Arabidopsis thaliana: one gene and its partners. The protein of the gene in region 3 interacts with the protein of the main gene of each other region in a pairwise test. Each region holds a gene or a part of one and is shown on either strand. Other genes may lie near its edges.

The links.
Region 1: the proteins of ATERDJ2A (region 3) and CNGC5 interact in a protein complementation assay, tested with the Arabidopsis thaliana proteins (one large-scale study listed by BioGRID).
Region 2: the proteins of ATERDJ2A (region 3) and ECA2 interact in a protein complementation assay, tested with the Arabidopsis thaliana proteins (one large-scale study listed by BioGRID).

Annotation. Positions count from the first base shown.
Region 1 is NC_003076.8:23,454,567-23,458,318, forward strand, and holds the start of CNGC5 (cyclic nucleotide gated channel 5), read left to right. Parts: upstream 1-1,998; 5' UTR 1,999-2,100; exon of another isoform or gene 2,101-2,331; intron 2,332-2,449; 5' UTR 2,450-2,549; coding exon 2,550-2,578; intron 2,579-2,757; coding exon 2,758-3,340; intron 3,341-3,501; coding exon 3,502-3,714; intron 3,715-3,752. Other genes in the region: APO2 (APO RNA-binding protein (DUF794)), read left to right, coding at 124-151, 254-372, 519-871, 957-1,788. UniProt on the Arabidopsis thaliana protein: Probable cyclic nucleotide-gated ion channel.
Region 2 is NC_003075.7:384,685-388,436, forward strand, and holds the start of ECA2 (ER-type Ca2+-ATPase 2), read right to left. Parts: upstream 2,167-3,752; 5' UTR 1,813-2,166; intron 1,796-1,812; exon of another isoform or gene 1,617-1,795; 5' UTR 1,543-1,616; coding exon 78-1,542; intron 1-77. Other genes in the region: AT4G00905 (NC domain-containing protein-like protein), read left to right, coding at 3,181-3,274, 3,679-3,752. UniProt on the Arabidopsis thaliana protein: This magnesium-dependent enzyme catalyzes the hydrolysis of ATP coupled with the translocation of calcium from the cytosol to an endomembrane compartment.
Region 3 is NC_003070.9:30,067,485-30,071,236, reverse strand, and holds the start of ATERDJ2A (DnaJ / Sec63 Brl domains-containing protein), read right to left. Parts: upstream 1,719-3,752; 5' UTR 1,568-1,718; exon of another isoform or gene 1,525-1,567; intron 1,249-1,524; exon of another isoform or gene 1,246-1,248; 5' UTR 1,215-1,245; coding exon 1,029-1,214; intron 951-1,028; coding exon 855-950; intron 765-854; coding exon 644-764; intron 530-643; coding exon 423-529; intron 337-422; coding exon 119-336; intron 11-118; coding exon 1-10. UniProt on the Arabidopsis thaliana protein: Required for integral membrane and secreted preprotein translocation across the endoplasmic reticulum membrane.

The DNA of each region.
Region 1 (3,752 bases), on a different chromosome or scaffold from region 3:
GAACTTATTAGCTTTAAGCTTGTCCACGATTTACATTAGCTATCTTCTTCGTCTCCGGGACTGAGACCGCTCTCTCTTCCTTATCCTCCATCTTCCAATGGTTTAATCCAGCAACTGTCGACGATGTCGATAACGTACTCCGCTATTTCCTGTAAGTTTCTTCCTCACTGTGTGTCGAATCCGTCCTCAATGCTCAATTTTATCCATTTATTGTGAGACTGTGATTGATTTTGGTTTCCGTTGTTTTATCCAGCTAGTACAGTTTCTGGGTTTTCACCAAAAAGTGTACCTTTTGCTATTCATAGCGTAACCAGGAGGCAATTTCTTAATCCCAACACGTTTTATAGATTTGGGTTCTCTCCTTCTCTTCAGGTCAGATTCCTTTACTAGTCAGTATCATCCAATTCTCCAGACTCTGCTTCGTTGTTGTTTTGGTTCTTAGAATTAGACCACACTTCGTTGCTTCCCTTTGAAGTAGAGAGTCAATGTTTACTGTTATGTGCGGATATGTTGTGCAGGGAAGTAGCATTGAGTTTAGCCTTCAGTTGAATTCAAGAGTTGTGCTTAGTAAAGAGCGTCGATCTCTGCCATTAGTTGTGAGAAATGATCGTCCTCAGAATGAAGACTTACCTAAGCAGTACACAAGGCGAGAGAAGAAACCTTTCCCAGTCCCTATTGTGGACCTGAGACGAGCTGCGAGGGAGAGAGTCAAGAACAACAAAGACAAACCTAAGAGACCTCTACCTCCGCCTAAAAATGGTATGGTTGTGAAGAGCCTTGTGCCTCTTGCTTATAAAGTATACAATGCAAGAATCAGATTGATCAACAATCTCCACCGGCTTATGAAAGTTGTTCGTGTTAATGCTTGTGGGTAAAAATTCTCTTCTTCTTCTTGTTTCATTTTTGGTCTGTTTTGAGTATGGCCTTTTTTTGATGTTGTATGATTGGTCTCTTAGGTGGTGCAATGAGATTCATGTTGGACCTTATGGGCATCCATTTAAGTCGTGTAAAGGTCCCAATACTTCCCAAAGGAAAGGTCTTCATGAATGGACTAACTCGGTTATTGAGGACGTTATTGTTCCTCTTGAAGCCTATCACCTTTTTGACCGCCTTGGCAAGCGTATCCGTCATGATGAAAGATTCTCGATTCCCCGAGTTCCTGCTGTAGTTGAGCTCTGCATTCAGGGCGGCGTTGAAATACCCGAATTTCCAGCAAAAAGGAGAAGAAAACCGATTATCCGCATTGGCAAAAGCGAGTTTGTTGATGCAGATGAAACTGAATTGCCTGATCCAGAGCCTCAGCCTCCTCCAGTGCCATTGTTAACTGAGTTACCTGTCTCAGAGATCACTCCCCCATCTAGCGAAGAAGAAACAGTCTCCTTAGCCGAAGAAACATTACAGGCCTGGGAAGAAATGAGAGCAGGAGCCAAAAAGCTGATGAGGATGTACAGGGTTAGGGTCTGTGGGTACTGTCCAGAGGTTCACGTAGGTCCAACGGGACACAAGGCCCAGAACTGTGGTGCATTCAAGCACCAACAGCGGAATGGCCAGCATGGTTGGCAATCTGCAGTACTTGACGACTTGATACCGCCAAGATATGTTTGGCATGTTCCTGATGTGAATGGGCCACCGATGCAGCGAGAGCTACGAAGCTTCTACGGGCAAGCACCTGCTGTTGTGGAGATATGTGCTCAGGCTGGCGCTGTTGTACCTGAGCATTATAGAGCTACAATGAGACTGGAGGTTGGAATTCCTTCGAGTGTGAAAGAAGCTGAGATGGTTGTTTGATATGTAGAAGACCTTGTAAACTTCTTCTTGTACAAAATCCTCCATTCCACCTTGTGTTGTATAATAATATCACAGCCCAGGTCTTTTTGACTTTTGAAGGACAAAAAAAACAATCCACGCTAATCCTATTATCAAGGGTAAAAATGTCATTTGCTTCGTTTTCATCTTTTCTCGTTGCCATTTTCTTTTTTTTGTCTGTGTCAAGTCGATACCACTTGTCTGGTAGCTTTATACCCACTTTCATCTTTTTCATGTTCGTAGTTGTTCCTCTGGTTATCCTCATCAACGGGACCCTTGAAACCGTGTAGCCATGTAAGCCTTTGTCTTTGTCTCTTTCTCTTGCTTCAGCAAGTTCACGTCTGCTCTATTTCTAATTTTGTTCTAAGATTCAATTCTCCTTTTTTCTATGCGAGAAATTTAAGATTGGTTCTCTAGCTCTACCTCTTTAAATTTGTTACTATGTGTCGGTGTCCATCATTCATCAAATTTTTTCCTTTTTTATCCATTTGAGTTGATGTAATGATGTTGCTTCGCTTCATACTGGTCAGAGTTAGTCTAATCTTCATTTTAGCACAACTTGACAACTTCATATGGTTATGACTTATTTTTACTTGGGTCTTTCAAAGGTTAAGTATTTTAGTCTTATTTTGGGATGATGCAGCTTGCTTAATGATTAGAGTCTTAAAGCTGTGCTCTTTCTTCATCGATTTGAGCAAGTGATCTTGGAAGGCTCTTGAGTTCTGAATTCCTTGTAAGCAATCATGGCAGGGAAAAGAGAAAACTTTGTGAGGTTAGTGCTGCATCCTTTTGTTTTAATACAAAGATCTGAAGTTTGAATGTGAGAAACGTATTGATTTGGCAATGGTTGTTTCTGATTTGTTTCCTTATGAAAGTATAGTGTGATTGTACTGAACTATAGCTTGTTGGTGCATAGTAATCTGAAAGTGGTGTTGTTCATACCTTTTATAGGGTGGATGATTTGGACTCTAGGTTACCATCATCATCTGTAGCCTTCCAACAGAACTACGCCTCCAATTTCAGTGGACAACTTCATCCTATTCATGCAAGCAATGAAACTTCTAGATCCTTCAAGAAAGGTATCCAGAAGGGTTCCAAAGGGCTTAAGTCGATCGGACGTTCACTTGGTTTCGGTGTTTATCGAGCAGTGTTCCCAGAAGACCTTAAAGTATCTGAAAAGAAGATATTTGATCCTCAGGATAAATTCCTTTTGTATTGCAATAAATTATTCGTTGCGTCATGTATTCTTTCAGTGTTTGTGGACCCTTTTTTCTTCTATCTTCCTGTGATTAATGCTGAGTCCAAGTGCCTGGGTATTGACAGAAAACTGGCTATCACAGCAAGTACATTGCGGACTTTTATCGATGTGTTTTATCTCGCTCACATGGCTCTCCAGCTTAGGACTGCTTATATTGCACCTTCATCACGGGTCTTTGGGCGAGGTGAACTCGTGATTGATCCTGCACAGATAGCAAAGAGATATCTACAACGTTGGTTTATTATTGACTTTCTCTCAGTACTTCCTCTCCCTCAGGTTGGTTAATATAAGTTTTGATCATTTCAGTAAATTGTGTGTTGGAAAACATCATTGCTTAATTTGTTGAAAGGGTGCAGTAGCCAGTAGTTGGTGATCAGACATCTCTGTCAAGCGCTTTCTAGTTCTAGATTTACAGTACTCATTTTGTGTATGTGCAGATTGTAGTTTGGAGGTTCTTGCAAAGTTCAAATGGGTCGGATGTATTGGCTACAAAGCAGGCCTTGCTTTTCATTGTTTTGGTCCAGTATATACCGCGATTCCTACGTGTCTTACCCTTGACGTCAGAATTGAAAAGGACAGCAGGTGTCTTTGCTGAAACGGCTTGGGCTGGTGCCGCTTATTATCTGCTTTTATATATGCTTGCAAGTCATGTGAGTTTATATACCTTTTTCATTTTAAGACGTTGCTT
Region 2 (3,752 bases), on a different chromosome or scaffold from region 3:
AAGATCAATCAATCAACAACATAGCAGATGAATGAAATTGTGCTAATGTAATGGTGTGAAAACATTCTAAAACTTACCTAGCTTCACTGAGCTACCATTGTCTGAAAAGTTTGTAACTTCCTCGATGTTCTCACTGTTCTTCTTCTCCGGGATACCCATCTTCTCAACAAGAACTTTCAATGCTGCTTCTGTAGGCAAACCTGTTGCTCTAAACAACTTCCCTTCATAGAACACTCCAGCATCATTACAAATTGAACATATCTCAGCAACAGCTTGCAAGTTAGCATCCATATTGTTGCAGCCCCAATCCACAATTCCACCATCTTTAGGATCATAAGTCGTACCACTGACTGAAAACACTCGAGTAGTCGTTGTTTTACCGCCTAATGTGAAGAATTCGGTTGCAGACATCTGGTTTGTTGTTAAAGTCCCGGTTTTATCTGAACAGATCACAGTTGTGCAACCGAGTGTCTCTACACTCGGGAGCTTCCTCACTATCGCGTTCTTCTGCGCCATTTTCCTCGTCCCTAAAGCTAAACATGTCGTGATCACAGCGGGTAAACCCTCGGGTATCGCTGCCACTGCGAGAGCAACAGCGATTTTGAAGTAGTAAGTACATTTCTCGAATGAAAACTTGATATTCACAGGTTTATAGCCATCCACAACATCCCAAGAAACAAAGTTCTTGTAGTTTATCATCCACACAAGAACACAGACAATGCAAATAGCTGTAGTCAATCTACTCCCAAACTCGTCTAGCTTCTTCTTTAACGGAGTCTCGCTCTCTTCAAGCGACGCCTCGTGAATCTGTCTCTGGATTTTCCCGATCTCCGTATCCATACCTATACTTGTCACAATGCAAACGCAGCTTCCGTTAACAACCGTTGTTCCAGCGAAAACCATATTTTCTTTCCCTTGCAGTTCACAATCATCCATGACTACAAGATTCGCTCCTTTCAAAACCGGCATTGCTTCACCGGTTAACGAGCTTTGCTCGACTCTTAAAGTGGATGTTTTCAAACCGGAAACTCTCATATCAGCAGGGACTTTATCTCCTACATTTAACTCCACAATATCCCCTGGAACAAGCTCTCTAGCAGGCAAATTAGGCAACACATTCCCATCTCTCAAAACCTTTGCAGATTCACATTGCATCTCTTTAAGAGCCTCAAGTGCTTTCTCAGCATTACTCTCTTGCCACACACCAACCACAGCGTTTAAAATCAGAATCAAAACAATCACAAAAGGCTCAACAAAGGCCTCGAACCCTGAACCTGAGCCGTGTTCCTCACCTAAAAAGGCTAAAACGAAAGAGATAAACGCAGCACCGAGAAGAATCTTCACAAGCGTATCGTCGAATTGTTCCAATACAAGATGCCATAAAGGCTTGCCTTTCTCCTTAGCAAGCTCGTTAAAACCGTACTTTTGACGGCGGATTTGGACATCTTCGCTAGTTAAACCCTTGTCTAATCTTGTCTTGTACTCTTTCAAACATTGCTCAACAGACCAAGACCACGCCGAGAACGACTTCTCCTCCTCCATTGGTTCAAAAGCTTTACTTTAACTCAAAACGGTTATTTTCTTCTTGTGTATGTGAGAAACCGTTTATCAAATTCCTGTAGAAAAATTTCAATCAAACAATGAAATATCAATTTTTAAACAACAAATAAAGTTACAGTTTTTATTGACGGTTTGATATCTTTTACAACATAGAACATAATAAATAATCAAAGATCTAAAAAAAATACAAACCCAGAAACCCAAAACAAGAACTGAGTTAAACAGAGAGAGAAACAGAGTATAAATTCTTACCTAAATTCCAAGAAAAACCAGTTAGAGCTTTCGTCATTGAAATATCAAACATGAAAGAAAGTCCATCAAGAAAGAAAAAAATGATTTGACTAAAAGTTTGCTTGGAGACAAAGCTGAAGAAGACCCAAGAATTTTTGAAAAAGTAAGAAGTAAAATTTTATTCCCAAATTTGATTCGCGTTCTACCACTAAAAAGGAAAAAGGACAAATCTTGATTTGGACAAGTCGTGGTTTCGTGTTTGAAACTCGTTGTCTTTTAATTTTTGCCTTTATTGCTTAAATTTTGAATATATTTTGCTTTGTTCTTCTTCTCTTCTCTCTGTGGTTTTGCTTTCCACTTTCCAGAAAAGCGAAGGTTTGGTAATAGTGATATACGTGGTCCCATCTGATTGGCTGTCCATAAAGAAAACGGAACGTTATTAACCCCTTGAAAAGACTGTAGTACCCTTCATTTAAAACTGTTATTACATGTTTGACTTTCCCTTTCCCGTACGGCTCGCTTGATATCGGGGGATATTCCATTTTACTTTCAAATTATTATTATTAAAATCACTTAAAATACGAGTTTACAGATAATAATGAAATTAAAAAGTCAACGATTAAAGACTTTAATAAACCAATGAAATAACCCAAAAGTTCCTTACTACAGTGTTGTTATAATAATCGCAATAAATATTTTAATTTTCAAACATCTGTCAGTAGGAGTGCTGTCTGAAAATCTGCAAGCCTACTCAAACCGTATTAATTGTTATATTCGCTTTTGTGGTTACAACAAAAAGCGAAGTTCCTCGAAGTTTCTTCCATTATTGCCTGATCTACCTCCACTACGCTCGGCTCTATATATATTTTTCTTATTATATACTCACTCCAAAGAAACTCATTAACCAATATAGCTTATAATAATAATTAAGTATACAATTATCGATTGTATAAAACTCCTACTTATATCTTCCTTCGTTCAGATTAGAAAATTTGATTAATTCTAAGCATTGTTCATTAGTTGGCAATGAGCAAAATAACAATTGGTTGATAGATAAATAATACGCTTTTCGATATTTAGGCCGTAGAGCGTTTTCTTTAAGCCCAATATGAGTCCAATACACCAAGAAAGGAAGAATAAGATTCCAGGGACACTTTAAAAACGGCGTCGTGTTCACAAAAGCCTTTTCGTATATTGACCATATTACCCTCCACAGCGATTGTCGTCATCTAACAGTTAACGCCGTCAAAAGATTCTGTAACGGCATTGGTTCAACAGTCTCCGGTTTGATCGCCCAATCATATCTCTGCCGCTGACGTAAGAATCTACTTGTACACTGCAATTTCCACAAGCCAAAGGGAAAGCTTTTATTTTGAGGAAGACGAAGCAATGGGTGTACTCACGAACAAAGTCGAGAGAGACGAGCTTAAACCTGGTGATCACATCTACACTTATCGAGCCGTCTTCGCTTATTCTCACCACGGTACCTTCGATTTCTTCCTTTTGATTTCATCATCAATGAGCTTTTGGCATGAATCATCCATAGTTTTTCCTCAATTTGGATCTTCTTTGTGTAAATTTTAGGGTTTATGTTACCTCTTTCCGTTGCAGAGATGAAGAAACAAACCGTCATTTGGTTTCTTATTGGGTTATTGTGTCAAAAACTCTGTTTTGTTATTAGGTCTTTTTCCCTCATGCCAAAGTTTTTGACTTTATTGAAACGGATCTTCAAAAAGTCTCATCTTTTGTTTTCTCTGGATTCAATCGTACTGATGATGACTTGTCCTTCTATAGTCAATGGTGGTAGCAAATAGATTTTGATTGCTTTTGTTGACATTTCAACTGAAGAAAGCATTTTGTTTTCTTCTAAATTTTCCACATTTGTAGGCGTATTTGTTGGTGGTTGCAAAGTGGTTCATTTCAAACCTGAGCACAGCTTGATATCTCCTACACTCGCTTCT
Region 3 (3,752 bases):
CATAACTTTGCTGGACAATAAAAATTTTAAAACATGTCATACAAACAAACGAAAACACAGCCCATTTGTCATGCACCAATAGCATCACTTGAATGTATATGGGTATGAGTGAATATACCTTGGGGCCAGAGAGGGTTTCATTAGATAATAATATGCGGAGAGTGTTTGATGCATAACGTAGTTCCCAGTATACTTTGATGACCTCGAGAGATATATAACAGCAATCACAAGGGGCAAGAGAATACAGACACCAACTATCCAAAGCAATAATATGCCACCAGATGCTCCATCAATGTCTAGAAGAAATTGAGGAAGAGCAATGCCCATTTGAAATCCCTGCGATCACATAACAATATTTTAGTCTCAATAGGCTTGTCAATAAGACGGGAGCACATGCGAAGGGAAAGGAGATGTATCCTTACCTGTCTGCCATCTGGATGACCATACTTCTCAAAGTTTTCACGGGATACTGAATCAGTCAAAGCCTGGTATGCTTTAGATATGAACTCCACAAAATATTTATTGGCTTCTGTAGAGATCAACAAATGCGCATAGAAGAAAAAACTATCAGGATCAAAAGCTGCAACCATAATTCCGTAATGATCAAAAGGGAAAAAAAAAATAACAAGGGGAAAAACTTGACCTGGATCTGGATTTTTATCAGGATGGTATTGAATCGACAGCCTTCTATATGCTTTCTTTATTTCTGAATCTGTAACTCCAGGTTCCAGTCCAAGTATACTGAATGGGTCAAAAACTTGAGCCTGTAACACAAAAGAAGGTAAATAAGCAAGTAGAATTAGTTGATATAAGTCAGCGGTGCATTCAAGTTCAACAGCAAGCAATGGGATTACCTCACGGCTCATGTTCTTAGTGTAATAAATCAAGAAAATCATCACGACCCAGAGTAGCACAAGTGTCAAGTTGCTCCACGTAGAGAAGTTAGAGATCTGCAGATAGATAAGTGAAGAAGAGGTTAGGAACATGCAATAATCTATTACAGAGCAGGAGGTTGAGTGGAAAGTAACCTTTTTAAACAAGGATCTCTTATATTTTCCAGAACGGTCACACTCGAGACACTGACAATGAATGGTCCTTTGTTTCTTGGAGAGAGCACCGCTTAACTTGACCATGGTGTAAGGCACCAAAGGAATTGCCATAATCGTCAAGATAAAAATGGGAAACAATGCGCTATTCTCTTCTGACGCCGCCATCTTTGGAGCCTTTAAACTGAGAGATTCTATTCTGCTGAAAGGAAAAGCTCTGTTATAATCTCACAACATCCAAAAAGCTTCAAGGATACAAAATTATCAATAACATGAAAAGCTGGATCTGAGGCCACTGAAATTAATTAGGGATTCTACATGACGGAGATCAACACTAATAGATCTCGGCTAATCTAGTCTAAAGGTATATGAATCCCTGGACTCACTTTGAGATCGACACAAAACCTTAGAAAACAAACAAACGAAACTACGGGAAGGAAGCAAAACCAATAATTGGTGAAAGAAGATGAAATCGAACTTGAAAGGATATTGTAGAAGAGGAAATCGAAGAAGAAGCTCACCTAGGATGATAGCTCTCTATAATCAGAGAGATCGCGCTGCTGCAGATCGGCAACAAACGGCGTTGCAGTTTTTTTTTCTTTATGCTTCTCTTCTCTTCTAATTTCTGATTTCTGATTGGTGAGTTCTTTCTTCTTTACTTGCTTATTCACTTTTCTTTACCTTCTCAATTAAAATATTTCGCAATTCATTTCTCTCTTTACATTTTTACGAGTTATTTATTTTCCATTAAATTAGAGTAATTATTAATAGCAAAGTTTTTATGGTGAACGAAAACGAATTTCCCAAAAAAAATCACATTTTTTATAAATTAGAAAGGAAAAAGAGAAAAGGATATGGATCAAAGAGGGATTATATGCTCTAGAGATTTAATGTGATCCAGATATTGTAATAGGGATTGCAACAAATCTCTTATATGTTCTAGAGATTTAATGTGATCTAGAGATTGTAAATAGTTACAACAAAATAGAGATTTAAACAAAACAAATATTTAATGATTTTAAGAAAACTGTTTTGTTGTAACTATTTATATTTCGACCAGAAATAAATTGTTCTACTTGCAAAATACATCAATCTTCGTTATTATTATCGATTTAATCATAAACTGTCTAATTCAATTAAATTTATAAGAGCATGGTTACCAATACTTTTTTATCTACTGTAACGAAAGCTAATAATGATTTTGAATGAGTTTGGTATGATTTGGTTATTCGATTCACTAAAATAGTCGTTTTAAATCTAGCCAAATATCGTATAATTTTACTTGTTTTGATTATATTAAATAATCAGTTATTTGAAAACTTTGTTGACATGTTAATATTATATATAACTAAAACAAAATATAGATATTAAAAACAAAGAAAATGTTATTATATAGCTATTATCGTTTTTCATACCATTTAAATTTTATTACTGGCTTTCATATTATGATATTGTTGTACATAGACACCACTGCTAAAATGCTTATTAACTTGAGATTTTGCTTGTGAGATTTGGAGGCTAATTTTTTTCTCGGTTAAGCATTTCTCGCATCATATGCCTTCCACATAGTTTGAGCTTTTGTTCACCAAATGTTCTTACCACTCTCAAGAAACTGGCAGCACACGAATATGCTTTCCACATGGTTTGAGCTTTTCTCTTGGACAAAAACTCGTTCACCAAATGTTCCTACCACTCTCAAGAAACTGGCAGCACACGCATATGCCTTCCACATAGTTTGAGCTTCTCTCTTGGACAAAAACTCGTTCACCAAATGTTCCTTCCACTCTCAAAAAAATGGCAGCACACGGTGGAGTTTACCACATTTGAAAACAAGTAAATAATGTCTTACATAATTCACAGTCACTGCTTTCTTCGATCATTTTCAAGAATTTTGACCGTGAAATTTGCAATACCATATCTTCAAGAAGACATCTAAAAGGTTTTCGCAATCTGGTGATTAGGTTAATGCTCTTTTGTAATACATTTCTTTCATTTTATATATGATATTAACATTTATAACAAAAGAAAACAATCATAGCATATTGCATGTCATTGCAAGTTTGCTATATACAGTAGTTTTAAACCGAGTAAACTTAAGATCAGGTAGGAAAGATGCAAATAAAGAAGCAAGTGATACCAAAAATATATGTAAACATTTAATATAGTTCTTCAATCTAATTGACGATTAGAAAGTACTGTACTAGATGATTACGATCCAAGATTTTTGTCCACACTAAGAATATTTCACAAAATAAGGTTTGCAACAGTAGGATTGAAATGCCAGTAAACAGTGACATTATCTCGAAAAAATCCAACTCAGAAATCATTTACTAGCTAATAATATTTTTCAAATAGTTTAGAATTATTATTGTTGTTTATCATTAACGCATACAAAGTTAGTTGTATAATCTTTCAACTTATAAATAATTTGGTTTTGGACGGAAGAGCTTTACGCAAATGTATTAATTTGGTTTTGATAATTTTTATTTGTAGACTCGATTTGTTTACGTAAATTATGAAAGAGAGGCAAAAATAAATATCATAAGATATAGTATTAGAAGAAAAGGACATAAAAGTAGTAATTAAAAAAAAAAAGGAAAAGAAAGTGTGAAAAGAAAAAAGGAAAAGTAGAGAGGAACGCAACCCTGGGGGCTTCTTAATAAACCCCTCTCGCTCTCTTGTCTCTTCCTTACGACAACCTCTCCT